Macaca fascicularis: one gene and its partners. The protein of the gene in region 3 binds, or shares a complex with, the protein of the main gene of each other region. Links are inferred from orthologs where the notes say so. Each region holds a gene or a part of one and is shown on either strand. Other genes may lie near its edges. The genes, in order: CRNKL1, ARMC7, EFTUD2, RNF113A, PPIL2, RBM48 and CWC15.

Region 1 (3,500 bases), on a different chromosome or scaffold from region 3:
AAGGCATCAGGCCGACTTTCTATATTTTAGCACCTTTTCTTCTAAATTTTACATGTTCTCTCATTTTAAAAACACCATCCCTGAGACTGCATAAATAGAAAAGACACAGGAATACAGAGGTTAGATTACTGGCCAGGTGTCCCACAGCAAGCACCCCTTCATCTATAGTCATCACTCTCATGATAGTCAATAATTAGATGCCTATTCTTACCAATGCATTTGCTTAAATATGTGACTATGTATCATTATGTCTGTAACAACAATAGAATTATATCATGCTCACAATTGTTAAACTTGCCTTTCCAATTAACAGTAATTCATCTTTCACATATCTTGCTAACCTACCACCACATTTAATAACAGATTTAGTCCTTTGCTTGGAGGTATCTTAATTAACTTGACTAAGTAAGAGTATTTTTTATTTATTTTTATTTTTATTTTTGAGATGGAGTCTGGCTCTGTCGCCCAGGCTGGAATGCAGTGGCGCAATCTTGGCTCACTGCAAGCTCCGCCTCCCGGGTTCATGCCGTTCTCCTGCCTCAGCCGCCCATGTAGCTGGGACTACAGGCACCCACCACCACACCCGGCTAATTTTTAAGCAAGAGTATTTTTAAATACATAGCAGAATACTGAAGGAAAATGCTATTCTCTTTGAATTGAAATCAAAATAGTACATTACAGAAAAAGAGATGCCAGTGGAACCCTGTCTAGCATACATCTTTTGTTCAGGCAGTTAAGCTCAAAGGTGATGTGCAAAACAGGTTTTTGGACCAATCTCTGACTCTTCCACCTTCTTCCAACAATGAGCTCGAATGGAGTCCACATTTCTTTTGCTCCAGTTCTACACACAGTCAGCAATCAACAAAATAACTTACAACATGTAAGTGGCAGACCAAATCCAAGTGTTGTTTGCTTGCCTTTTCTATCAGCCTTGTTTATTCCTACTTGTCTGAAATAGCTGCCAGTTGATCACAGGCACATCATCAAGAGATTAATCACTGGTAGTGCTAACTTGCTATGATTCATCTTAGTGTTGCTAGTATTGATGAGCACATCTTGGGTTATCTGCAGAGTTGACCATCCACACCAGCGCTCACCTTTACTTCTTCTTCGTACTGGAATCTCCGTTTGCTCACGATGATATCTTCAATACCCCGCCTATCACCAAACTTCTTCTCAAAGATGGTATAATTTTTAAAGAGTTCTTGGGCATCTTGTTTTGAAATTCTGTCCAGGGCATACTTGTAAATCACTCGTACCCTTTCAAACTAAATGCAGACAGGATGATTACCTTCTATAACACAATATTCTCATGACAGTCACAAGTAGGAGAGTAAATGTACCAAAATATTACTTTTAAGTTAGAATTTGAGGCCTCATAATGTCCTGAGTAAGATGCTTTTCTCCATTTTGTTGAAGGTATCTCCGTCAGGATGGACCAGTACCCTGCTTTGAGCTCCACATTTAATACTGTCTACCTAACTAACACTGCCAATTGGATGTCTACTGCACATCTCAAACAGGTCCAAAACTGAGCTTGTTTCTTCCCCACTCAACCTGGGACTCTCCCCATCTTCCCAATCTTAGTAGGCAAGGCCTAACCTACAGTCACATACTTGCTCACGCCAAAGCCTTCAGGTGATCCTCAATTCCTCTTTTTCCCTCATTCTCCATATTCACTCTTGCAACATGCCCTGCCATTTCAATCTCTTCCACACAGCCCTTCGCTCGTCCCCAGCCCCCAGCCATCAAGCTCCACTGTTTACCTGGACCACTTCAAAAGTCTCCTCACTAGTCTCCCCTGGTTCCACTTTTGCCATCCACCCCCATATATTCTCCATGAATTAGCCAGAGGCTCTCTTTAAAATATAAATCATATCCAATCACTGTCCGCTTAAAACCTTTTAATGCTTCCTGCTGGCCCGAACAGAATTTGAACTCCTTAGCATGGTCTGTGCAAGACCTTGTATAGGCTGAGTATCTCTTGTCTGAAATATTTGGTACTGGACATGTTTTGGATTTGGGATGTTTTCCCAGTTTTGGAATATTTGCATTATACTTACTGGTTCAGCATCCCTAATCCAAAAACCCAAAGTCTGAAACATTCCAATGAACATTTCCTTTGAGTGTCATGTCAGCACTCAACAAGTTTCACATTTTGAGTTTCAGATTTTCAGACTGGGAATGCTCAAACCTGTATTTGGATGGATCTCAATTCTGTATTATTTGAACTGCCTTTTTTTTTTTTTTAAAGAAATGGGGTCTTGCTCTGTCACCCAGGCTAGAGTGCAATGGCACGACCATAGCTCACTGTAGTCTCAAACCCCTAGGCTCAGGTGACACTCCTGCCTCAGTTTCCCAAGTAGCTGGGACTGTAGGCGTGCGCCACTATGCCCACTCAATTTTTTTTTTTTTAGAGACAGGGTCTCACTATGTTGCCCAGGCTGGTCTCAAAATCCTGGCCTCCAGCGATCCTCCTACCTCAGCCTCTCAATATTTGAGCTATTTTCATAGGAACAAGGGAAAAAAAGAAATATCTTATTTGTAGGGCAATGTCTATTTCCATTCTAAATTTTGTTTTCTGTTCTGGGGCTTTATGCTTTTTGTTTCCCACATTTATTATCTGTTAAGTCCTTTACTTAGGATGCTAAAAGACTAGCTCTCAGTTTACGGGCATTCAGACTAAAAGACTTAATTTTCAAACAAAGCACAATAAAATTAAGACAGGTATAATACAATCTATAATCAGCTCCCATCTGTAGCTTAGTCACATATATACGCTGCTCTCTGTGAGAAGTTGTGTTTTTTGCATTTTGAAAACATCTCCAGGGATATGTCAGTAAGAAAAAATGGAAATGAACTCACCATGCACAAAATGTAATCTTTGCTAAGCTGTTTCACAGTACAATGAAGTTAAGTATACTTACCTCTTTCTGATTTTCTTCAAACTTGGCAAAGGCGACATACAGGTGCTCATCCATATGTTCATCTCCAAAGAATTCCACAGCTCTCTCATACACCTTCCGTGCGTGGGCAAAATAAGCATGTTTTTCTTCAAAGCGGGCATACTTGATCCAGTTCTTAACATCAGGGTGCACGAGGACAAGTGCAAGGGGATTAAGGAAATACCAGGCAAAACAGCATGGCTTAAAAAAATGGTAAGTAAACACCAAAACCATACCAAAGCCTGAAACCCCAACAATTCAAACTACAATTTTAGGGGAATAAAACACACAAAAGCGTAGAACTAAACAGTGGCTTCCGTGAGAGCAGGGCCACGCTTATTCATCTCTATTTTCCTCCAGTGCTTAGTTAAGATTTTAGTGGTGGGTACAAACTTGAGTTTGGAAGCAAAGAAAAATCTCAACCCAGGTTACCAACCATGTGATCTCGGATAAGTCACCAAACTTGTCAAAAGTCTCAGCTATTTCATTTGTAAACAGGGAAATATAATGCCAGCCTCACTGGATTACTGCCAGCTTTAAATGAGAAAATGTATG
Region 2 (3,500 bases), about 16 Mb from region 3:
CATCTTTTACCTTGAGGCATCTCATTCCTATCCCTGAAAACTACTCCAGACACTTCTGTTAAGGGATAATCCCTGATTTCCCGCAGCAAAGGCAGCTCTCCTAAGCCTCAGTCCCAGCTCTTGAGAACACTGTACTGTGAAGCCTCTGGGTCCAGGCACTTGGCCACTTCTTACACCAGGGCCTGAGCCTGGCAGTGGTGGCACCAGACGTAGGGTAGAGAGTGCCGGCCTATGAAAGCAGCTCCAGTTTGATCTCCGCGTGCCTCGGAGTCTGGCTTCCTCACTCCTGACGGCGTTTCATCACAGTGTAAATGCCTGTCCTGCTGAAAGAACCCGCCTTTCAAATGGCTGAAAAGGCACCAGTGGGGCAGCATATGCTCCCCCTGTTCCCTGCGTCCACATCAGGACCGTGGTCTCCAACAGTAGGGGTGCTACAGTCTCGGGGTCCCCGTGGATCAGCGCTGCCGTGGGGCCATGCTCCTCGGCAGTGGGATACCCAGGGCAGAGTGCGCCTGCCGGCTGCGGGCCTCGGCCACCTGGCGTGGGGAGCAGAAGTCCTCCAGGAAGATCTGCGCCAGGTTCCGGAGCCTGGCACTGGCCGAGAGGGAGAAGCGAAGCATGCACTGCACCACGGGCGCGGCGGTCAGCTCCGGGGGAAAGCTGCGGCCCGGCGGGCTCAGGTGCATGAGCGTGGTAATGGCAGATAGCACCGTCTCCTCGTTGGGGCTGGACAGGCAGTTGATGATGAGTGGGACACCTCCTGCCTGCAGGATGTGCTCCTTGTTGGCCCGGTCTGGGCACAGGTTGCACAGGCCTCCTGTGGGAGACCAAGGAACAATCTGGATGCTGTAGCCCCGGGCCTCCTGCCAGCTCCCCAGCTCATGAACCCCAGGGAGGGCCCAGGCTGAGAAGCTGGTCCCAGCACAAGTGATCCAAAGCCCATTCCGGCTCCTGCCTTCTCGGTTCTAGAAAGGCCTGCCTGCTCCCGCCTGCCACAGCCCAGCCTTCCAGAGGTGCGCACAAATCCCTTTCCCTCTTGGTTCAGCCAGTTCAATGGCTGATACGCTTTCTTTTTTCCCTTTAATGTAAAAACCTAAAACAAGGCCGGCCCAGGCACAGTGGCTCATGCCTGTAATCCCAGCACTTTGGGAGGCTGAGGTGGGTGGATCACCTGAGGTCAGGAGTTCGAGACCAGCCTGGCCAACATGGTGAAACTCTGTCTCCACTAAAAATACAAAAATCAGTCGGGCGTGGCAGGTGCCTGTAATCCCAGCTACTTGTGAGGCTGAGGCAGGAGAATCGCTTGAATCTGGGAGGCGGAGGGTGCAGTAAGCCGAGATTGCACCATTGCACTCCGGCCTGGGCAACAGAGTGAGACCCTATCTGAAAAAAATAAACTAAAAACCTATAATGTATCATCACCTTAGAACAATTTATAAAAATTATAAACATATAAGATGATGGTTTCATGGGTATACACTTACACCAAAATTTATCAAATTGTACCCTTTAAATATGTACAGTTTATTATGTCCATAATATAGCAATAAAACTGGTAAAAATACTAGAATGGGCTGGGCACAGTGGCTCACACCTGTAATTCCAGTGCTTTAGGAGGCCAAGGCAGGAGGATCCCTTGAGCCCAGGAATTCAAGACCAGCCTGGGCGACATGGCAAAACTCTGGCTCTACAAAAACACACAAAATTAGCCAGGCGTGGCGGTACATGCCTGTAGCCCCAGCTACTTGAGTGGCTGAGGTAGGAGGACTGTCTGAACCCAGGAGGTGGAGCTACAGTAAGCCATGATCGCACCACTGCACTCCAACCTGGGCGACAGAGTGAGACTCTGTCTCAAAAACAAACAAATGGCTCAAAAACAAACAAACAAATTATAGGCTCACGCCTATAATCCCAGCACTTTTGGGAGGCCGAGGTGGATGGATCACCCTGAGGTCAGGAGTTCCAGACCAGCCTGGCCAACATGGTAAAACCCCATCTCTACTAAAAATGCAAAAATTAGCTGGGACTGGTGGCATATGTTTATAATCCCAGCTACTTGGGAAGCTGAGGCAGAATAGCTTAACCCGGTAGGTGGAGGTTGCTGAGATGGCACCACTGCATTCCAGCCTGGGCGACAGAGCAATAGTACGGTCTCAAGTGTCAGGCGGCTGACTGAACATTGGTTTTTCATCCCACAATTTGAAATATGTGAATACATGTAAGTATTTAGTAAAAATGGGATACTCTGCTTGCTGCTTGATCAGTTTTCTGAGATGGGGTCGGGTCTCCCTATGTTGTCCAGTCTGGTCTTGAACTTCTGGCTTCAAGTCATACTTCTGCCTCAGTCTCCCTGGGAGTTAAGACTACAGGCATGCACCACTGTGCATGGTTTACGCCAGCTTTTATATTATTTATTTATTTTATTTTTTTGAGACAGAGTTTTGCTCTGTCACGCAGGCTGGAGTGCAGTGGCGTGATCTCAGCTCACTGCAACCTCCACCTCCTGGGTTCAAGTGATTCTCCTGCCTCAGCCTCCCAAGTAGCTGGGATAACAGGCATGTGCCACCACGCCCGGCTAAATTTTTGTAGTTTTAGTAGAGACGGGGTTTCACCATGTTGGCCAGGCTGGTCTCGAACTCCTGACCTCAGGCGATTCACCCGCCTCGGCCTCCCAAAGTGCTGGGACTATACGCATGAGCCACTGTGCCCGCCCCAGATTTTTACATTTAACAATATATTGTGATTAGCGGGGCATGGTGGAGCCCACCTATAGTCCTAGCTACTAGGGAGGCTGAGGCAGGAGAATCGCTTGAACCCAGGAGGCTGAGGTTGCAGTGAGCCGAGATTGTGCCATTGCACTCCAGCCTGGGCAAACGAGTGAAACTCCATCTCAAAAACAAAACAAAACAAAAAAACCCCAAAAACAATGTATTGTGAACATCTTTCCATGCCAATAAATGCACATTCATGGCTATGCAATCATTGTAGATTAATGGTAAGGAGTGTACCATTTGACTTATGTACTGTAATTAAGAGATTAGAGCATTTTAAAGTTATTTCCATGTCACCGTTACTAGGATTCTGGAGGAAAACAGAAAAGGCAACAGTGAGACATCAGTGGTTGGTTCTGCATCAAAGAACTCATGTGCTCAGGTAATGTGGCCGGAATCCCACCCCCATTCCCTCAGGTCAGGCCCCCTCAGTGTAATGACCTCTTGGCCTTGGGGACAGATGCTACCTTGTTTTGGAGGTCACTCTGCTCAGCACAGCTGCTCACTGCGGGAAGATAACTTTCCATGCATCCTAACGCAGCTTCCTGTCATCACGGTACCCCTCCCTTTGGTTCCTGCTCAGTGGAGGAAGCCACCTCTCAGCTCATTTGCAAAACATGCCCAGTGTCCTGAGTGATCAATCAGGAGTGAAGGCCACAGCTTCACCCACTTGCCCTGTTTTTCTGGAAACTAACAAAGAGAAGATTTACCTGAACCTGAAACCCAACT
Region 3 (3,500 bases):
TGGGATTAGTTTCTAGTAGACAGAAGCATGAACAAATAATTCATAAGAATGGAAGGGAAGGCATCGTATATGAGTACAGGTGTAGGCAGGTGGGTAGAGGGACTGCTGGGTGCTTGTTTTCCTTCACACAAATTACAGCATGCCAACCTCTTCCTTAAGAACACAAAACCCTCCAGTGGTAAGACTGGCTACCTCCTACCATCTTACACTCTACTTCTACTAAAGTGGCCTAAGATTACATTAGCTCTTTTGGCAGCCACATATATCTTACTGGTGGTGGCTCCAAAATAGCTATCAAGCCAGTTTTCTACTGCCCCATACTGCTGAATATATTATGAATCTAACTGCAGGATTTTATATAATCATTTCTGACTGCCTGTAATTACCTCTACCGAGTCTACAGTAGCTCAACAAGTCTAAAATAAAACTAAACCAGTATAAACCAGTATTCTTTTATCATTGTTTTTTAAAATTTTTAATTTTTTTAATTTTTTTGAGATGGAGTTTCACTGCAATCTCTACCTCCTGGGTTCAAGAGATTCTCCTGCCTTAGGCTCCGGAGTAGCTGGGGCTACAGGTGTATGCCACCATGCCCAGCTAATTTTTGTGTGTTTTTTTTTTTTTTTTTTTTTTTGAGACGGAGTCTCGCTCTGTCTCCCAGGCTGGACTGCAGTGGCCGGATCTCAGCTCACTGCAAGCTCCGCCTCCTGGGTTCACGCCATTCTCCTGCCTCAGCCTCCCGAGTAGCTGGGACTACAGGCGCCCGCCACCTCGCTCGGCTGGTTTTTTGTATTTTTTAGTAGAGACGGGGTTTCACCGTGTTAGCCAGGATGGTCTCGATCTCTTGACCTCGTGATCCACCCGTCTCGGCCTCCCAAAGTGCTGGGATTACAGGCTTGAGCCACCGCACCCGGCCAATTTTTGTATTTTTAATAGAGATTGGGTTTCATCATGTTGGCCAGACTGGTCTCAAACTCTTGACCTCAGGTCATCCGCCCACCTCAGCCTCCCAAAGTGCTGGGATTACAGACATGAGCCAATGAGCCCAGTCTTAGAATGGACATCTTTCTTTTCTGTCTCCATTACCAAAATCTATGCATCTCTGTTATATACCTCAATATAATTAAAAAAAAATAAATCTGTCCAGGCGCGGTGGCTCACACCTGTAATCCCAACACTTTGGGAGGCCAAGGCATGTGGATTGCTTGAAGTCAGGAGTTCAAGACCAGCCTGGACAACATAGTGAAACCCCGTCTCTACTAAAAATACAAAAAACATTAGCCAGGCATGGTGGCACACACCTGTAATCCCAGCTACTTAGGAGGCGGAGGCATGAGAATCGCTTGGATCTGGGAGGCAGAGGCTGCAGTGAGCCAAGATGGTGCCACTGTGCTCCTGCCTGGGCAACAGGGTGAGGCTGTCTCAAAAAAAAAAAAAGAGAGAGAGAAAAGAAAAGAGGGGGCTGGGCATGGTGGCTCATGCCTGTAATCCCAGCACTTTGGGAGGCCAAGGCGGGTGGATTCTTGAGCTCAGGAGTTCGAGACCAGCCTGGGCAACATTTTGTCTCTATGAAAAATAAAAAAAATTAGCTGGGCATGGTGATGCATGCCTGTAGTCCCAGTTATTTGGGAGGCCAAGATGGGAGAATCACTTAAGCCCAGGAGGTGGAGGTTGCAGTGAGCTGAGATTGCGCCACTGCACTCAAGCCTGGCAACAGAGTGAGACCTTGTCTTAAATAAAAATAAGTAAGAGCGAGATGAAAAGAGCAATATATTTGCTTTACCTCATCAAGATCTTTGGTCTCTCTACCCAATTCATCGTCATCTTCATCAGAATCAAGCTCTGGTCCAATATAATTCCCAAACTCATCATATAAGTCGGTGTCCATGATGCTAAAATTCAAGGAAAGGAGTTAGATTCTGGCAAAGTAATCATGGCCTCCATGTGGTGGCCCCACCTACCTAGTCTTATAGTTGGCCATACCCCTTTCAGAACATGCCTCCTCCCAGTGACATCAATCTACTGAAGGCTCCTCCCAAAGACCAGTACTTTACCCAAGTCTCTGCCCTACTTGTCTCTATTTATGTAGTCTTCCCTCCACTTTTTTTTTTTTGTTTGTTTCAAGCAGAGTTTAATAGGCAAGAAGGAAAGAAGACAGAAGGAAGAAGCTCCCCACTACAGAGATGGGGCGGGGTGCTCCAAAGCCAAAAGAGGAGGTCCCCTTCCTCCACTTCTTTAATACCAAATTTAATTTTAAAATAACTCAATGTCAAAAAGTGGCAAGAATAGTACAAACAACTTACTTTTTCCTAAATTATTTGAAAGTGAGCTGTTGACACAGTGGCTCATCACCTCCTAATACTTTAGTGTAAGGGTGTGCAAACTCTGGCCTGTGGCCAAATCTGGCCTCTCCAGCTGTTTCTGCATGGCCCTCTAGCTAAGAATGCTTTTCAACATTTTTAAATTGTCAAAAGAAAAATATTTCACAATACATGAAAATTAATTATAAGGAATTCAAATGTCTGTGTCTACTTAAAAAATTTCATTGGGAGGCCTGGCGCAGTGGCTCACACCTGTAATCCCAGCACTTTGGGAGGCCAAGGCGGGCAGATCACCTGAGGTCAGGAGTTCGAGACCAGCCTGGTCAACATGGCAAAACCCTGTCTCTACTAAAAATACAAAAATTAGCTAGGTATGGTGGCATATGCCTGTAATCCCAGCTACTCAGGAGGCTGATGTAGGAGAATCCCTTGAACCCAGGGGGTGGACGTTGCAGTGAGCTGAGGTGGCACCACTGCACTCCAGCCTGGGAGACAAAACGAGACTCCATCTCAAAAAAAAAAAAAAAAAAAAAAAGGTTCACTGGAAAACAGCCATGCATATTCATTTACATCATCTACAGTTGCCTTTACACTGTAATAGCAGAGTTGAGTAGTTGGGACTGAAACCATATGGCTCACAAAGCCTAAAATACTATCCAGTCCTTAACAGAAAAAGTTTGCCAACCTCTCCCTCACCTTGTGTGATTCCTACAAACAGGAACATTCTTCTACATAACCACAACACAACCATCAAAATCAGAAAATTAATATTCACACATTACTACCACCTAATTTACAGATCCCATTCAGGTTTCACAGATTGTTCCAATACGTTTCACAGATTGTTCCAATGATATCTTACACGCCCAAGGATCCAATCCAGGATCATGTTTGCATTTGGTTGTCATGTCTTTGGTCTCTTTGGATTTACAATCTTCAGTCTTTCCTTCCAAGGACTGTCGTGACATCCTTAAGGATGTCCCTTGATTTGAGGTTGTCTGATGTTACCTTATGATAATATTCAGGTTATGTGTTTTAGGCAGGAATATCATAGAAGTGATGCTGTGAGAACATGTGAGAACTGTGGTTCTCAAAGCATTTCCTATCAGGTGATACATGATTTCAATTTGCCTCATTGGTGGTAACGTTAACTTTGATCACTTCATTAAGGTGATGTTT
Region 4 (3,168 bases), on a different chromosome or scaffold from region 3:
AAATAAAAATGCAAATTAGTAGTACAAGAACAGAATCTCCTAAATAAAATCAGACCACTACACTTTAGGATTAAGTTGGTGACCGTGACTTCTTACACTATTTTAACCAACATGAATTTTTTTTCCTTTTTAAAAAAAAGAAAAAAAAAAGAAATATCTAGTTGTTGCCTTTTGGGACACTAAGAAACAACAGCTGTAGATCACACGTGGACAATCACAAATTCAAAAAGTAAGTAAATTTATACTCTGTACTCTAGAGATGATGTGAAGGGCTAAGAGGGGAAAATGAATCCTGATGTAAAACACAAGACCTTGCAGTAAATTCCTAAACGCTTGCAAGAGAAAGTGGGGAATAAAAAAGTCAAGGGTGGCCGGGAGCGGCGGCTCACGCCTGTAATCCCAGCACTTTGGGAGGTCAAGGCGGGTGGATCACCTGAGGTCAGAAGTTCGAGACCAGCCTCGCCAACATGATGAAACCCCCGTCTCTACCAAAATAAATAAATAAATAGCCGGGCGTGGTCCCGGCTACTCAGGAGGGTGAGGCAGGAAAAATTTTTTTTTTTTTTTTTGAGACGGAGTTTCGCCCTTGTTGCCCAGGCTGGAGTGCAGTGTCGCGATCTCGGCTCACTGCAACCTCCGCCTCCTGGGTTCAAGCGATTCTCCTGCCTCAGCCTCCCGAGTAGCTGGGATTACAGGCATGCGCCACCACGCCCCACTAATTTTGTATTTTTAGTAGAGATGGGGTTTCCCCATGTTGGTCAGGCTGGTATCGAACTCCCGACCTCAGGTGATCCGCCCGCCTCGGTCTCCCAAAGTGCTGGGATTACAGGCGTGAGCCACCGCGCTCAGCCAGGAGAATCTCTTGAACCCGGAAGGCGGAGGTTGCAGTGAGGGATTCTCAGGCTTGAGCCACCTCTTCTAATCTACCTTTCCGGCCCCCGCGTCGCTACTCTGCCCTAAGGCCCACTTTGATACACCCAGAAACGCTGTTTTTCACCAGAGCAGGATGTGGTTTCTACCGCGCTTCGTTTCGCAAGCCTCGGCTTCTAGGCAACCGGAAGAAAGTAGAGGGCCGGCCTCGGAGAGAGGGTCCGCAGGCTGACGGCCTCTCTGCCCACCATCCTTTTCAGAAATCAGCCAGTGGAGTCAGCCCCCGGGCCCAGGAAGCCGCCTTACCTTGCCCCCGTTAGTGAACCTCTGGATGTACGCAGTAGCCAGTCCTGGAATAAGCAAGCACACGCCCATGGCGGCGAGTCCGGGGAGAATCTCGAACCACATCTCTGCCCCGTTATCTAGGCCAAAACCCTACTTCTGGGTCCTTGAAAGGTGACCGGGCTTCGGCTCCCTTCCCAGTAAGCCCCGCGGCCGCCCGCGAGCGGGGCGGTGCCACGTACGGCTCCGGAGGAAGCGACGGGATCTGCCAGGGCTCAAGAGAGGCTGGCGCTCGCGCTCTCGCAGTTCTCTTCCGTCAGTGTCTTTTGCTTCGACTCCCGGCGGAGCGCGCGACGTGGAGTAACGCGCAGAGGCCAAGTGCAACCCAGGCAGCGACGGCCGTTTCGGAGCTCGGGACTCTAAAATGGCAGAGCAGTTTTCTCCAGGGAAGACGGCGGATCAGGTGTGCACCTTCCTTTTCAAAAAGCCTGGGCGGAAAGGGGCTGCTGGACGCAGAAAGCGCCCGGCCTGCGACCCAGAGCCCGGAGACAGCGGCAGCAGTAGCGACGAAGGCTGCACTGTGGTTCGACCGGAAAAGAAGCGGGCGACTCACAATCCAATGATACAGAAGACTCGTGACAGTGGTAAACAGAAGGCAGCTTACGGCGACTTGAGCAGCGAGGAGGAGGAGGAAAATGAGCCCGAGAGTCTCGGCGTGGTTTATAAATCCACCCGCTCGGCGAAACCCGTGGGACCAGAGGATATGGGGGCGACAGCTGTCTATGAGCTGGACACAGAGAAAGAGCGCGATGCACAAGCCATCTTTGAGCGCAGCCAGAAGATCCAGGAGGAGCTGAGGGGCAAGGAGGATGACAAGATCTATCGGGGAATCAACAATTATCAGAAATACATGAAGCCCAAGGATACGTCTATGGGCAATGCCTCTTCCGGGATGGTGAGGAAGGGCCCCATCCGAGCGCCCGAGCATCTACGTGCCACCGTGCGCTGGGATTACCAGCCCGACATCTGTAAGGACTACAAAGAGACTGGCTTCTGCGGCTTCGGAGACAGCTGCAAATTCCTCCATGACCGTTCAGATTACAAGCATGGGTGGCAGATCGAACGTGAGCTTGATGAGGGTCGCTATGGTGTCTATGAGGATGAAAACTATGAAGTGGGAAGCGATGATGAGGAAATACCATTCAAGTGTTTCATCTGTCGCCAGAGCTTCCAAAACCCAGTTGTCACCAAGTGCAGGCATTATTTCTGCGAGAGCTGTGCACTGCAGCATTTCCGCACCACCCCGCGCTGTTATGTCTGTGACCAGCAGACCAATGGCGTCTTCAATCCAGCGAAAGAATTGATTGCTAAACTAGAGAAGCATCGAGCTACAGGAGAGGGTGGTGGTGCTTCCGACTTGCCAGAAGACCCCGATGAGGATCCAATTCCCGTTACTTAGCTGTCTGATAATTCTTAAATTTAAATAATAAATATTTTGTTCTTTTGGAAGTCTTAATTCGTGTCCTTCCTTTGTAGAGACAGTGACAGAGAAGGCGGGTGGTGAAGTAGGGTCCTGGATTAAAAACCTCAAGGTAGGTATAATCAGGATTTTTAGCCCTAGGATAACCATTTTGCCTGTGTTTCTTTTCAGAACACTTTGGCATCAATTATAGGGGTGGGAGTAGTTTGAGAAAAGAGCTATAATTTGCTTGAAGTAGCCAAAGCTATGACGAAAGTAAGAACTCTGAGCCTGTTTATCATATCACATTTCTGTATCACTTAATAGTTTACAAAGTACTTTCATGCATTCTTTCTCTTGGGAGCCTGTACTACAAAATATACCGGAGCCAAGGTGTTGGGGAGAGGGGTTGCGTTTGGGGAATTGGTAGCTAGTACCACAGGCTTCACATATGGGAAATGTTCCTTGCTGTCTGGGTTATTTATTTATTTATTTATTTATGAGACGGAGTCTCGCTCTGTTGTCCAGGCTGGAGTGCAATGGCGCGATCTCAGCTC
Region 5 (3,500 bases), on a different chromosome or scaffold from region 3:
GAAGCCAAGGCCAGGCCGAGCCAGGGGCCCCTGGCCTCAACTGGGTCCCGACTCTTACAATATCAGCTGAAACCCTGGAGATAAAATACCACACAGGACTGGCCACCTCAGGGTTAGGAGTATATGGCTGACTTCCCATTTATTTTTATTTTTATTTCTTTTATCAGACAAGGTCTTGATCTATACCCAGGCTGGAGCGTAGTGGTGCAATCCTGGTGCACTGTAGCCTCCAACTCCTGGGCTCAAGTGACCCCCCGACCTCAGCCTCCTGAGCAGCTGGGACAACAGGCGCCTGCCACCACACCTGGCTGATATTTTGTAGAGATAAGGTCTCACTATGTTGTCCAACCTAGTCTTGAACTCCTGGCCTCAAGCAATCCTCCTGCCTCAGCCTCCCAAAATGCTGGGATTACAGGTGTGAGCCACCACGCCTGGCCTCATTTCTTTTTTTTAAAGTTTCAAATTTTCTACACTAAACACATTACATATTTAATCAGGGGTCGGGGGAAAGCCCCAATAAATGTTATTTTTTATCATAGAGGAAGAAAAGGGGTTTCTCCCATCAGAAGAAAATACAAGCCAGGCACAGTGGCTCACACCTGTTAATCCAGCACTTTCGGAGGCCACGGCAGGAGGATCTCACTTGAAGCCAGGAATTCAAGACCAGCTTAGACAACACAGCAAGATCCTGTCTCAAAAAAAAAAAATATATACCAAAGTGCTAAGGGCAGCGTGTCAGCGTGTCAGAGGGGTGACCATGGACAACAAACTTGCTTTTTAAATTTTTCCAGAATTTGAATAATTCCTTAAGGAGAACTTCAGCGATACCTGCCCATGTCTCTGCACTCCCCCTAGCTCCAGATCCCCACACTCTGCCTGAACAGGAGGAAGAAGCAAACACAGCAGCCCCAGACAGGCAGCTCTGTGCGGTCCCAGGCACGCCATCCACCTCAGCACCGCAGCAGACTCTGAAACGCCCCAACTCTCCCTGGCATGGCTTTGCGCCCCAGTGCACATTGGGCCCTGCCCTCCCAGCCACCACAGAACCACACGTGCCCACTCCACGTGCCTGCCCTGGCCACTGAGCTCAGGCTGGGACCACAGCATAAGGCAGACCTTCTGCGGAGGGGTCTCCTCCCCTGCGTGCCCCCACACACCCCTTGGTTCTTCAACGACCAGTGTGGACGTCAGCCCCTCCCCTTCCGCCTTCTCAGATTCTGTCTACCTCAGGGCAGCCCCAGGGCTGTGTGCTCAGAGCAATCAGGGGCACCACAGCTCTGGAGGATCCTGGCTGCCTCCCTGCCGTGGAACCCCAGACCCCCATGAACCCCTTTCCCAGGACCACTCCAAGAGGCCATGAGATAGGCAGGGAGACGGGGCTCGGCCGAGTGCCCTCCACCACTCACAGCGTTCAGCTTGTCCACTTTCTTCTTCTCTGGGGCCTTCATGGTGGCTGCCAGAACCTCATCCCCTTTGAACTCCTTGTAGAGCTCCTGCAGGGTCTCTCGGGTCTCGGCATTTGTATTTTTCAGATAGTAAGACGGGTCCTGTTTGGCCTTCTCTTCATCTACAAAACATTAGCATGGCCCTGAGCAGCCGAGCCCCCAGTATCCTCGTGCTGGGGAAACAGATCTAGAATAGGCCAGGGCTGTCCAGCCATGGCATGGGCCCCGTGCCACTGCCAGCCACAGAATGCCACAGTGCCCAGCTACAGGCCTGAAGGTCTCCCCAGGCAGTTCACAAGGGTCTCAGGATGGACTTCATGTTGTAGTTTCCTGCATATTCTAATCTTTTTACTGTATACACTTTGCTTTTTTTTTTTTTTTTTTTTTTTTGAGACAGGGTCTAGCTCTGTCACCCCAGCTGGAAAGCAGTGCAAGATCTCAGCTCACTGTAGCCTCCACCTCCTGGGCTCAATCGATTCTCCTGCCTAAACCCCCCGAGTAGCTGGGGCTACAGGCGCGCGCCAATCACACCCAGCTAATTTTTCTATTTTTTGTGGAGACAGGGTGTCCCCATGTTGCCCAGGCTGGTCTTGAACTCTTCAGCTCAAGCAATCCACCTGCCTTAGCCTCCCAAAGTGCTGGGATTACAGGTGTAAGCCACTGCGCCCAGCCCCTTTGCTTCCGTAATTTTAAAGGTTTTTACTTGATAGAAGTGTGTGGGAGTCTTTTCGGATGTGAAATCCCCCATTCTTGCCAACTCAGGAGGGCGCCTGCTGCCTACTGGTCCTTGGACAGCAGTCCACTCTGTGGAGAGGGACGGGCATCCCCGTGCAGAGAGCACAGACACGGCCCAGCCCCAACCCTGGCCTCAGGCTCTCCTGACTCAAATCTCCCCTAGTCATGTGCTCAGCCTCCCTAAAACCCAGTTTATACAATGCTCACGAAGTGCCCAGGCCACTGCTCTGCAGCACAAGGCTGAGTGGCCTCTGAGCATGAGTCCTGCTGGCTCCTCCAAGGCTGCAGGACAGCCACCAGCGGCCAGGAAAACAGGAGGACCCCGTCACCCCACCACCTGCCCACTGACAGCACCGGCCAGTCTGCAGGGAGCAGGGGAACCTGAGCAGGTGTCCTGGCAGGGCGGCAAGTCCATCCCGCCCGTTGTTTCTGAGGCTGCAGCTGGCTCGGATTCTCTGAACACTGGTTCAGAAAATGCAGGGCCTGTCTAGGCTGGGACCCTCTGACCTCCAGGAAAGGGAGGATTTTACCCAGGGAGCACTGTCCCAATTTCACCCAAATGCCCCCTCGCCTAGCCCAGCCCCTAGTTGTACATACCTGGGTCTATTATCTTCACGTTATTCTTCACATGATAGAAGTTAGAAACATTGAACTTGTCCAAATTGGTGGGGTCCTGTGGCAAAAAGAGAATGCCCAGCAGAGTGAACCCAGCCTGCGGCCAAATGGCAGCCACATGCAGCAAAGGTCGGCCAGCTGTCAGAGGTGGGAAAGAGGCCAGGCCTACACTGAGGTGGGGGGAGTCAAGCAGGGCATGGCAGAGGAGGTGGTCTGCCCCAGGCAGGGCAGCAAGCAGGGGCAGGGACAGGGACACGGCCTCGCTAGCTGCTGGCCGAGCTGCGACCTTCCTCCAGGCACATGGTTAACGAGCATTCATCGCTGTTAGGGAGCTCTCGGACAGGAACGTGGGCAGCCACGGGCCAACCTCTGGTTAGAATGGGACAAGCCACAGAGGTGACTGACTCAGCAGGCCACGCTCCAGCCAGCACCTGCTTTTCTAAGTCAGTGTTTTTCGTTAATTCACTTGGAGTTCTCTGACACCTGCAGGGAGCCCTGTGCCAGACCCTGAGGCCCAGAGCTCACACCAGCTCCTGCCGTCGAGGCGCTGAAGCAGAGCCAGGCCTGCAGAGTGGCCATTCAGATGCCTTAGGAGGCTCTGAGGACAGATATGAGGGACCCTGACATGGGGGTGGGGGATCGGGGAGGAGATGTAAGAGCTAGACTGAGGCGGCGGCCCCGTAGAGGCCTGGGCTGGCTGCAGGG
Region 6 (4,246 bases), on a different chromosome or scaffold from region 3:
TACATATAACAGCAGCCTGAGAAAACCACACATGACCCAGTAAAATCAAGTGCTTTTGTGGTAGATTATGATTTCTACTGATAGCACATGAAAGAAAATATGAATTGTAACAGCCAGAGAAGGATGGGTCTCAGAGCAGATTAGTGAGGAGAACAGAGATCAACATAAAAATAGATAAGGCATTGCATACTTCAGCCTTTTTGGAGCAGAGGGTTTATGTCACATAGAAGGCCGGAAAACACTGAGTCAATTTGCAGAAAGGAGTAACAGTAGAAACCACAATAGCTAATGCTTACTGTATTCTGACCAGGAGGCACTCTGCTAAACCCTTTATATGGATTATCTCATTTCATCCTCATACAACCTCAAGAAGTAGATAGGTCCCTTTACCATATAGATTTTACGGAACAGGAAAAACTTAAACAGGTTAAATAACTTGTCCAAGATCACAAAGCTAGTAAGCAGTGGAAATGGAAAACTTACTCCAAACCCAACATTTTTTTTTCTTTTGAGACATAGTCTCACTCCATCACCCAGGATGGAGTGCAGTGGTCCATAAATGACTCACTGCAACCTCCACCTCCTGGGCTCAACTGATTCTCCCACCTCAGCCTCCCAAGTAGCTGGGACTACAGGAATGCACTACCACGCCCACCTTGATTTTTGTATTTTTAGCAGAGGTGAGGTTTTGCCATGTTGGCCAGTCGGGTCTCGAACTCCTGGGCTCAAGCTGTCTGCCCACCTTGGCCTTCCATAGTGCTGGGATCGAATTCAACTTTTTTTTCTTTTCTTTTCTTTTTTTCTGGGACAGTCTCACTCTTTCCAGGCTGGAGTGCAATGGCATGATCTTGGCTCACTGCAACCTCTACTTTCTGGGTTCAAGTGATCCTTGTGCCTCAGCCTCCCCAGGAGCTGGGATTAAAGGCTTGCACCAACACAGCTAATTTTTGTATTTAGTAGAGTCAGGGTTTCACCATGTTGGCCAGACTGGTCTTGAACTCCTGACCTCAGGTGATCCGCCTACCTCCACCTCCCAAACTGCTGGGATTACAGGTGTGAGCCACATGCCTGGCGCCAAACCCAAATTTTTTTTTTTTTTTTTTTTTTTTGAGACGGAGCCTCGCTCTGTCATCCAGGCTGGAGTGCAGTGGTGTGATTTCTGCTCACTGCAATCTCCACCTCCCGGGTTCAAGCGATTCCCATGCCTCAGCCACCTGAGTAGCTGGGACTATGGGTCTGCACCACCACACCCGGCTAATTTTTGTATTTTTAGTAGAGCCGGGGTTTCCATCATGTTGGCCAGGCTGGTCTTGAACCCCTGACCTCAAGTGATCTGCCTGCCTCGGTCTCCCAAAGTACTCTGATTACAGGCGTGAGGCGTGAGTTATTGGCGCCCAGCCCTCAAACCCATTTTTTTTTTCTTTGAGGCGGAGATCCCCTCTTGTTGCCCTGGCTGGAGTGCAATGGCGCAATCTCGGCTCACTGCAACCTCTGCCTCCTGGGTTCAAGCAATTCTCCTGCCTCAGCCTCCTGAGTAGCTGGGATTACAGGTATGCACCACTAGACCCGGCTAATTTTGTATTTTTAGTAGAGACGGGGTTTCACCATGTTGGCCAGGCTGGTCTCAAACTCCTCACCTCGTGATCCGCCTGCCTCGGCCTCCCAGAGTGCTGTGATTGCAGGCGTAAGCCACCGTGCCTGGCCAAACCCAACTTTTACTCTACCACGCTACAGGACATTACATTGTTAAGCATGGGATGTGATGGATACAGTGTTTCAGTAAAGTTAACCTGTAAAAAGGCTGTAGGAAGATATGCTAGATTACATTTTGGGGTAATTCAGATATGAATGAGGGAAACTTGGGGCCAAAATGACAGAAATATGAATGGAGGAAATGAAACGAGTCATTGCTTAACTTGCACCTTACCTTGCACTTTGTAAGTTCATAAATTTAATAAGATAAACTTCAGTAAAGTCTTCTGCTGGGTATTCATCTAGCGCATTGTACTGTTCAATTGCACCATATAAAGCGAATCGCTCAACTAATTCCTTCATGACTCCCACAGCAGGAACTCCTTGTATTAATAAGTACTGAGATTCCAAATTGATTGTATATACCTGAAAGAAATGCATAGTTATTAAACGTATTTCGCAAATAAGCCTAGGACGAATCTGCCTCTATTTTTTTTTTTAAACAGAACTTTGAAAACAAGAAATAATCTGTTCAACCCAGTCAGCAAAAAACACAAAATAAAATTTCTGCCATTCCCTCTGCATAAAGAGTAACAGTCCATGTGAGAGGCTACCTAAGGCATATAACAGACTACCTTCAGTCGACATTTTTTTCCAGAAATTGAGTCGGCAGAAGTCACTGGGAACAATCACTCAACGAATATTCACTGAGCGCTTACCTGTGCCAAGTAGTACTGTAAACACTGAAGATCCAATGACTAAAACCAAGCCCTATTCTCGTGGAGTTGATGTTCTAATAGTTGACCAAAAGGGTCGTGAGAATCTTTGGTACCTGGCCCAGGGTTCTTCACGCCAGCTCTAATGAGCGACAGATCTGACGGAAGCCTTGTCGTGCCTTTATTTCCGTAGGTTAGCCATATGGCGCTAGCGCTCACAAAAAGCTACCGAGGAGAGCGAATGAAACCAAAAATCACTTTACCTTGACAGCACGAGGCCGTCGTCCCTCCCGATATTTGGCCCGCGTGTCGCACACCGCCCTCTGGACGTGGTGGTCAAATAAACTCCCTAACTCCCCACCGCTGGACGCCATCTTGCCTACTTTGATCCTTGCAGGGAGGACAACATCCGCCCTGCTGACCTCCCTTTTATCCAATAAGAGAGCGGGATGAGTTAAGGAGTGTCAGCATTGGCTGAAGAATCGACAGCGTCGGCCATCGTTTCCTGCGTGCGAGGATTTGATGAACGAGGTGCCGCCCCCGAGCGGCTTGGCGGAGAGGCGCGGTGGGTGACAGAAGCTTTCTTGTCCCACCCCACTACAGGCTTACGGCGAGACGCGCAGCGGGGAGAGGGGGCGGGGCCTCAGGGGGCGGGGCCGATCGATCTCCTCCGGTTCCGACGTCCTCGGCCTGCCAGGTCCCGTGTCCTTTGCGGCGCTAGGGTGGGCAAACCCAGAGCGACGCTTCGGGACGATGTGGGGCAGCGATCGCCTGGCGGGTGCTGGGGGAGGCGGGGCGGCAGTGACTGTGGCCTTCACCAACGCTCGCGACTGCTTCCTCCACCTGCCACGGGGTCTCGTGGCCCAGCTGCACCTGCTGCAGGTAACGTGCTGGCCCCGGGCCACCTGATCTTCAGCCTGGGGTCGGACAAGGCCGAAGCCTCTCAGGGACGCGGCGGGACACCGGCTGCCACCCGGGCGCCCCCGAAGCGTACAGAGATTAGGGTCCCTCGACGGCAGGGCCCTTCTGGTTAGTCTCTGCATCCCGCAAGTCCAGTGCAGCCCTGGGCTCGTCTTATCACAGGTCTTTTCACTTGGTGAAACTGGGCCTAGAAATGTCCTAATATTCTACCACTGTTTTTATAAATATTCCTCATTCCAGGCTGGAAAAGTTCCTGATAAGTGGTTTGTTTTTGTTATTTTAAAAGGTGCTTTTCTTGCCAGTCATTTCCAGTTACCTGCGCTGCTGCCGTCCGGGCCGCGAGAGGGAGGCGCAGAGTTGTTGGTGGAGCCCCTGTCGGTCCCCGGGGACTGAGCACCGCGTCCCATGAGCGGGAAAGCTTAATATAGTAATGGTTCTGTCCTGCGTCCCAGACCCTCGGAACACAGCTGTAGTGTGTCAGGAACACATAACGTAGTTAAGATCACTTGAAGCTCTGCGATCAGTCGCCCTTCTGGACGTTGTGGTTGGGATGTTTCGCAGTTCTAACCACCGGTGGAGATACAGCGTCCTTATTTTCGTAATTAAAAATAGAGGCACATGGTCTCACGAGTTTGAGTGTGGTTATGGGGGCAAAAGGACGGCGTATTTGAAATCTTCATAAATCCTGGATGCATGGTACCCACCAGTGGCTAATCTATGTAATGAATAAAGAGTTTGCAATAATTTCAAGCATCCCTTCTTTCCACTTGAGTTACTTCTCCATACCTAGGGGAAGATTTTTTTGGTCCATTGAAAACATGAGTTCAGCAGAATCCTCCTATCATCGTCGTTATTATTTTTTACTACTAAGTAGACAATCTTGGTTTTTGATGGGCTTTATGGTTAGAGACAAATCA
Region 7 (3,500 bases), on a different chromosome or scaffold from region 3:
AACTTTTGAGTTAAAAAATAGAAATACATAGATTTTAATTGCATAAATATTTAATGTTTTTAGGTCTAATACAAAGAGGCTGCACCTAGGACTACCCTAATATTAGTATAGGCATTTGTAGATGATAGTAGCCAATCAATTTAATGTAGTTTAGATTATGTGGTTTTGAGGATTGTAGATATTCCTCTTTTATCAGTTAATGTTTAGTAATCATCTACTGTAATATTTGCATTACAGGCCAACAAAAGGAGAAGCAATCATTGGGGTGTAATAATTAAGGCTCAGATATGGCGCACATGTACGTTAACCACGGAGAAGTACCAGCCGAAGAACTCAGGGCAGAACTCTGGTTGGATTCCATAAGGTATAAGTGTGAAAAAAAAATCCATAAGTAAGTTATAAAATACATGTGTTATAGAAAATAAAGAGCATGATTTCAGAATATCATCTAGCATATAAAACAGCTGCCCATATACATAATATAGATACCCTCACAAATATACATAAAACACAAACCCATATCATGAGTGTGTGTATGTGTGTATGCGCTTACATGCCAGGAGAAACTGCACATGGGAACAAATGTGGGAAACTGCACAACGAGCAACAAACGTGGGCACCTTTGGAAAATAGTGCAGTAAAGTCATCACTGATGCAGTATACAGAGAAGCATAAGAAGCTGAGCAGATCAATATGACTGGGATATAAGACATGTTTCTGTCTCCAATTCCATTTGCATTCAAAAAAAGCAAAAAAACAAACTATATAGCTTTATTTTTATATATAATCAGTAGTTTTTTCTGTATCCAGTCTTTCCTCAACTCCAAACAGGCTTTTTGTCCCTCCTTCCCAACACCAAAATGCTCTTTCCTGACATTAGTATTTGTCCTAAATGATCACTCCTCTCCTCCTGAAACACTTGGTTTCACTTCTTTCAGTTCTCCTCTCTTCCCAACTGGCTGCTGCTTGTCAGCCTAGACTTTTTCATTCAAAATTCATTCAATCAATATTTATCAGGCACCTGTATAATGTTTAGAGGTTGGGTAGATGATTAGAACAGGTATTGGTAACTAATCATCTCCCTAACCTCTAAACATTATACTAAGCTCAGTTCTGACTTCTCCTCTCTAGCTATACCCTTCCCTAGGTGATTTCATCCTGTGTTATGGCTTTAGAAAGTTTATCTGAGCTGATAACTTCCAAATCTACTATCTCCAGCTTGGACTAATTCCAGAACTGTATCAGCGGTACTGCATTACTCCAGAGGGGAAAGCGGTCAGTAGTACTGCATCACTCCAGAGGGGAGGGCGGGTAGCAGTACTGCATCACTCTAGATGGCAAATAATAGCAGTAGAGGTGGTGAAAAATAACGAATATGGTTTAAAAGTTAAGCACTGTGTTTCCTTGATGAATGCATATAAAATAACAACCATTCTTCCTTCCTCAACATTTCCTGTAAGCTTTTCTGTTTTATTTTACATATCACCATCTGAAGGATTTACAGTATTTACAATTTATACTTCCTCCCTTTTCAGCCCTCCTTTTTACCCCTCCAAACACACACACTGTACAGAAAGAATTTAAAAAGCAGGCCTGGGACCACAATCCTTAGAAATGCCTGCTTCCAAGGTTGGCCCCTGGCTGGCATTTGAAAATTTGGATTTAAGAAATCTTCTCACTGTCACTGTGCCTACAATTTACAAATAATGTGGTTTATGCTGAACACCTACTGTCCTTTTAAGAGTCTGGATTTTGCTATGTGCTAAGCAAAAGCTGCGTACATGACTAGCCACGCCCAGTAAAAACCCTGGGCATGGGATCTTTAATGGGCTTCCCTGGGCAGCAGCACTGCACACGTTGCTGCACTGGGGGAAACAATGTGCTGTGTGACCACTCATGGAAGGGATAGAGCATAGTGAAACCTGCGCATGGATTCATCCATTCTCCGTGTGTGTCTTTTCCCTTTATAATCTAGCTGTGTGTCTTTATTACCTTAGCCAAGCATGTAACTATATGCCAAGTCCCCTGAGTTCTTCCAGTGAGTGTCTGAATGTGAGAGGCCATCTTGGGGACCCTTGATACGCATACCTAAAATGTAAGGGCCTCAGTTTATTACTCTGTCCCTAGTGCTTACATCATTATCTGGTACACAGCTGGTTATTGCAACTATCTACTGAAAATAAGTTAATTTTCTTTCATTTAGCTTCTTCCATTATTCCTAATTGAACAGAGAAGAGTATCCGTGAACGAACGGTGGACTTTTAGAAGCTTCATATAATGCACCTTGCTATCCAACTTATAATCTGCATGCCTGTGCATATAGACACACACACACACACACACACTTCATTACTCCGTTACTGTATAGTACCTTCTTTTAACTTTGAAGTTGGCCTGAGGCTGCGATGGGCCAGTGAGATTAAGGAGAGGGTTTCCGCTCAGAATGTTTTCCATACGAATCCTCTCTTCTTCAGCTTTTTGTTCTTGTTCCTGTCAATGATAAAGGAAGATTAGTATTTACTTATTTTAACTCTGGGTTCAATTTTTTTTATATTAGCTCACTGAAAAAAAAAAAAACAGATCATTGGGATTTTACGGCAAGAAAAGCATCAAGGCAGGCTTTTTTTTTTTTTTTTTTTTTTTGGTTTTTGAGGCATACTAGAAAAGTCTCCCTCATCAAAATAAAATAAGTTGGCATTTTTATTATAAATATTTCATGGTTGATATCAGTCTCTTCCAACTGTGAAATGTTAGAGATTCATATTTAAATCTATTTTCTTTCTTGAAGTACATGTAAAATTAATAGCTTTAAATTTTAAGCGTATATCAATAAGCATATTCTAATAATTTAAGAACATATTAAATATCAAAAAGACACATTTAGCAAAACTATTATCTCAATTTTAAAGGGTCATACATAACTGTGATTTAATTTAATCTTATTTTGAATTACTAATAATGTAAACTTGCGTCTCTAGGTTTGGTGAGAAGTTATTAATGAAGAAAACTCCTAAAATAGGACAAACTACCATGTACAAAATTATATCCAGTTAACATGAATTTCTACTAATTTACCTGAGGCTGATCTATTTTGTTTTTATTGACTTATTATTGAGTTTCTTTTCTTTTTCTTTTTTTTTTCAGACGGAGTCTCGCTCTGTTGCCTAGGCTGGAGTGCAGTGGCATGATCTCGGCTTACTGCAACCTACACCTCCCAGGTTCAATTGATTCTCCCGCCTCAGCCTCTAGCATGCGCCACCATGCCCAGCTAATTTTTGTATTTTTAGTAGAGATGTCATTTCACCATGTTGACCAGGCTGGTCTCGAACTCCTGACCTCATGATCCATTCACCTCAGCCTCCCAAAGTGCTGAGATTACAGGCGTGAGCCACCGCGCCCGGCCTCAGTTTCTATTTTTATACCTCCCATCCTTTATCAGTTACAACACTGTCTTTCTTCACTTTTATTTTAGCATCAACTTCTTCAAAGTCAAATCATCC

What was found.
Region 1: EFTUD2 (region 3) and CRNKL1 share a complex: the UniProt entries of both Homo sapiens proteins name them as parts of the minor spliceosome. The link is inferred for Macaca fascicularis from reciprocal best matches to the Homo sapiens genes EFTUD2 and CRNKL1.
Region 2: EFTUD2 (region 3) and ARMC7 share a complex: the UniProt entries of both Homo sapiens proteins name them as parts of the minor spliceosome. The link is inferred for Macaca fascicularis from reciprocal best matches to the Homo sapiens genes EFTUD2 and ARMC7.
Region 4: EFTUD2 (region 3) and RNF113A share a complex: the UniProt entries of both Homo sapiens proteins name them as parts of the minor spliceosome. The link is inferred for Macaca fascicularis from reciprocal best matches to the Homo sapiens genes EFTUD2 and RNF113A.
Region 5: EFTUD2 (region 3) and PPIL2 share a complex: the UniProt entries of both Homo sapiens proteins name them as parts of the minor spliceosome. The link is inferred for Macaca fascicularis from reciprocal best matches to the Homo sapiens genes EFTUD2 and PPIL2.
Region 6: EFTUD2 (region 3) and RBM48 share a complex: the UniProt entries of both Homo sapiens proteins name them as parts of the minor spliceosome. The link is inferred for Macaca fascicularis from reciprocal best matches to the Homo sapiens genes EFTUD2 and RBM48.
Region 7: EFTUD2 (region 3) and CWC15 share a complex: the UniProt entries of both Homo sapiens proteins name them as parts of the minor spliceosome. The link is inferred for Macaca fascicularis from reciprocal best matches to the Homo sapiens genes EFTUD2 and CWC15.

Annotation. Positions count from the first base shown.
Region 1 is NC_088384.1:67,260,686-67,264,185, reverse strand, and holds part of CRNKL1 (crooked neck-like protein 1), read right to left. Parts: intron 3,107-3,500; coding exon 2,928-3,106; intron 1,269-2,927; coding exon 1,098-1,268; intron 1-1,097. UniProt on the Homo sapiens protein: Involved in pre-mRNA splicing process. As a component of the minor spliceosome, involved in the splicing of U12-type introns in pre-mRNAs.
Region 2 is NC_088390.1:81,510,598-81,514,097, reverse strand, and holds part of ARMC7 (armadillo repeat-containing protein 7), read right to left. Parts: intron 818-3,500; coding exon 456-817; 3' UTR 1-455. UniProt on the Homo sapiens protein: As a component of the minor spliceosome, involved in the splicing of U12-type introns in pre-mRNAs.
Region 3 is NC_088390.1:65,948,244-65,951,743, forward strand, and holds part of EFTUD2 (116 kDa U5 small nuclear ribonucleoprotein component), read right to left. Parts: intron 1,893-3,500; 5' UTR 1,889-1,892; coding exon 1,784-1,888; intron 1-1,783. UniProt on the Homo sapiens protein: Required for pre-mRNA splicing as component of the spliceosome, including pre-catalytic, catalytic and post-catalytic spliceosomal complexes. Component of the U5 snRNP and the U4/U6-U5 tri-snRNP complex, a building block of the spliceosome.
Region 4 is NC_088395.1:126,232,984-126,236,151, reverse strand, and holds RNF113A (E3 ubiquitin-protein ligase RNF113A), read left to right. Parts: upstream 1-1,470; 5' UTR 1,471-1,576; coding exon 1,577-2,611; 3' UTR 2,612-2,668; downstream 2,669-3,168. Other genes in the region: NDUFA1 (NADH dehydrogenase [ubiquinone] 1 alpha subcomplex subunit 1), read right to left, coding at 1,177-1,278. UniProt on the Homo sapiens protein: Required for pre-mRNA splicing as component of the spliceosome. As a component of the minor spliceosome, involved in the splicing of U12-type introns in pre-mRNAs. E3 ubiquitin-protein ligase that catalyzes the transfer of ubiquitin onto target proteins.
Region 5 is NC_088384.1:31,448,912-31,452,411, forward strand, and holds part of PPIL2 (RING-type E3 ubiquitin-protein ligase PPIL2), read right to left. Parts: intron 2,854-3,500; coding exon 2,778-2,853; intron 1,568-2,777; coding exon 1,407-1,567; intron 689-1,406; exon of another isoform or gene 600-688; intron 1-599. UniProt on the Homo sapiens protein: Has a ubiquitin-protein ligase activity acting as an E3 ubiquitin protein ligase or as an ubiquitin-ubiquitin ligase promoting elongation of ubiquitin chains on substrates.
Region 6 is NC_088377.1:128,836,628-128,840,873, forward strand, and holds the start of RBM48 (RNA-binding protein 48), read right to left. Parts: upstream 2,801-4,246; 5' UTR 2,783-2,800; coding exon 2,672-2,782; exon of another isoform or gene 2,412-2,671; intron 2,119-2,411; coding exon 1,928-2,118; intron 1-1,927. Other genes in the region: peroxisomal ATPase PEX1, read left to right, coding at 3,162-3,290. UniProt on the Homo sapiens protein: As a component of the minor spliceosome, involved in the splicing of U12-type introns in pre-mRNAs.
Region 7 is NC_088388.1:93,949,601-93,953,100, forward strand, and holds part of CWC15 (spliceosome-associated protein CWC15 homolog), read right to left. Parts: intron 2,491-3,500; coding exon 2,372-2,490; intron 1-2,371. UniProt on the Homo sapiens protein: Involved in pre-mRNA splicing as component of the spliceosome. Component of the PRP19-CDC5L complex that forms an integral part of the spliceosome and is required for activating pre-mRNA splicing.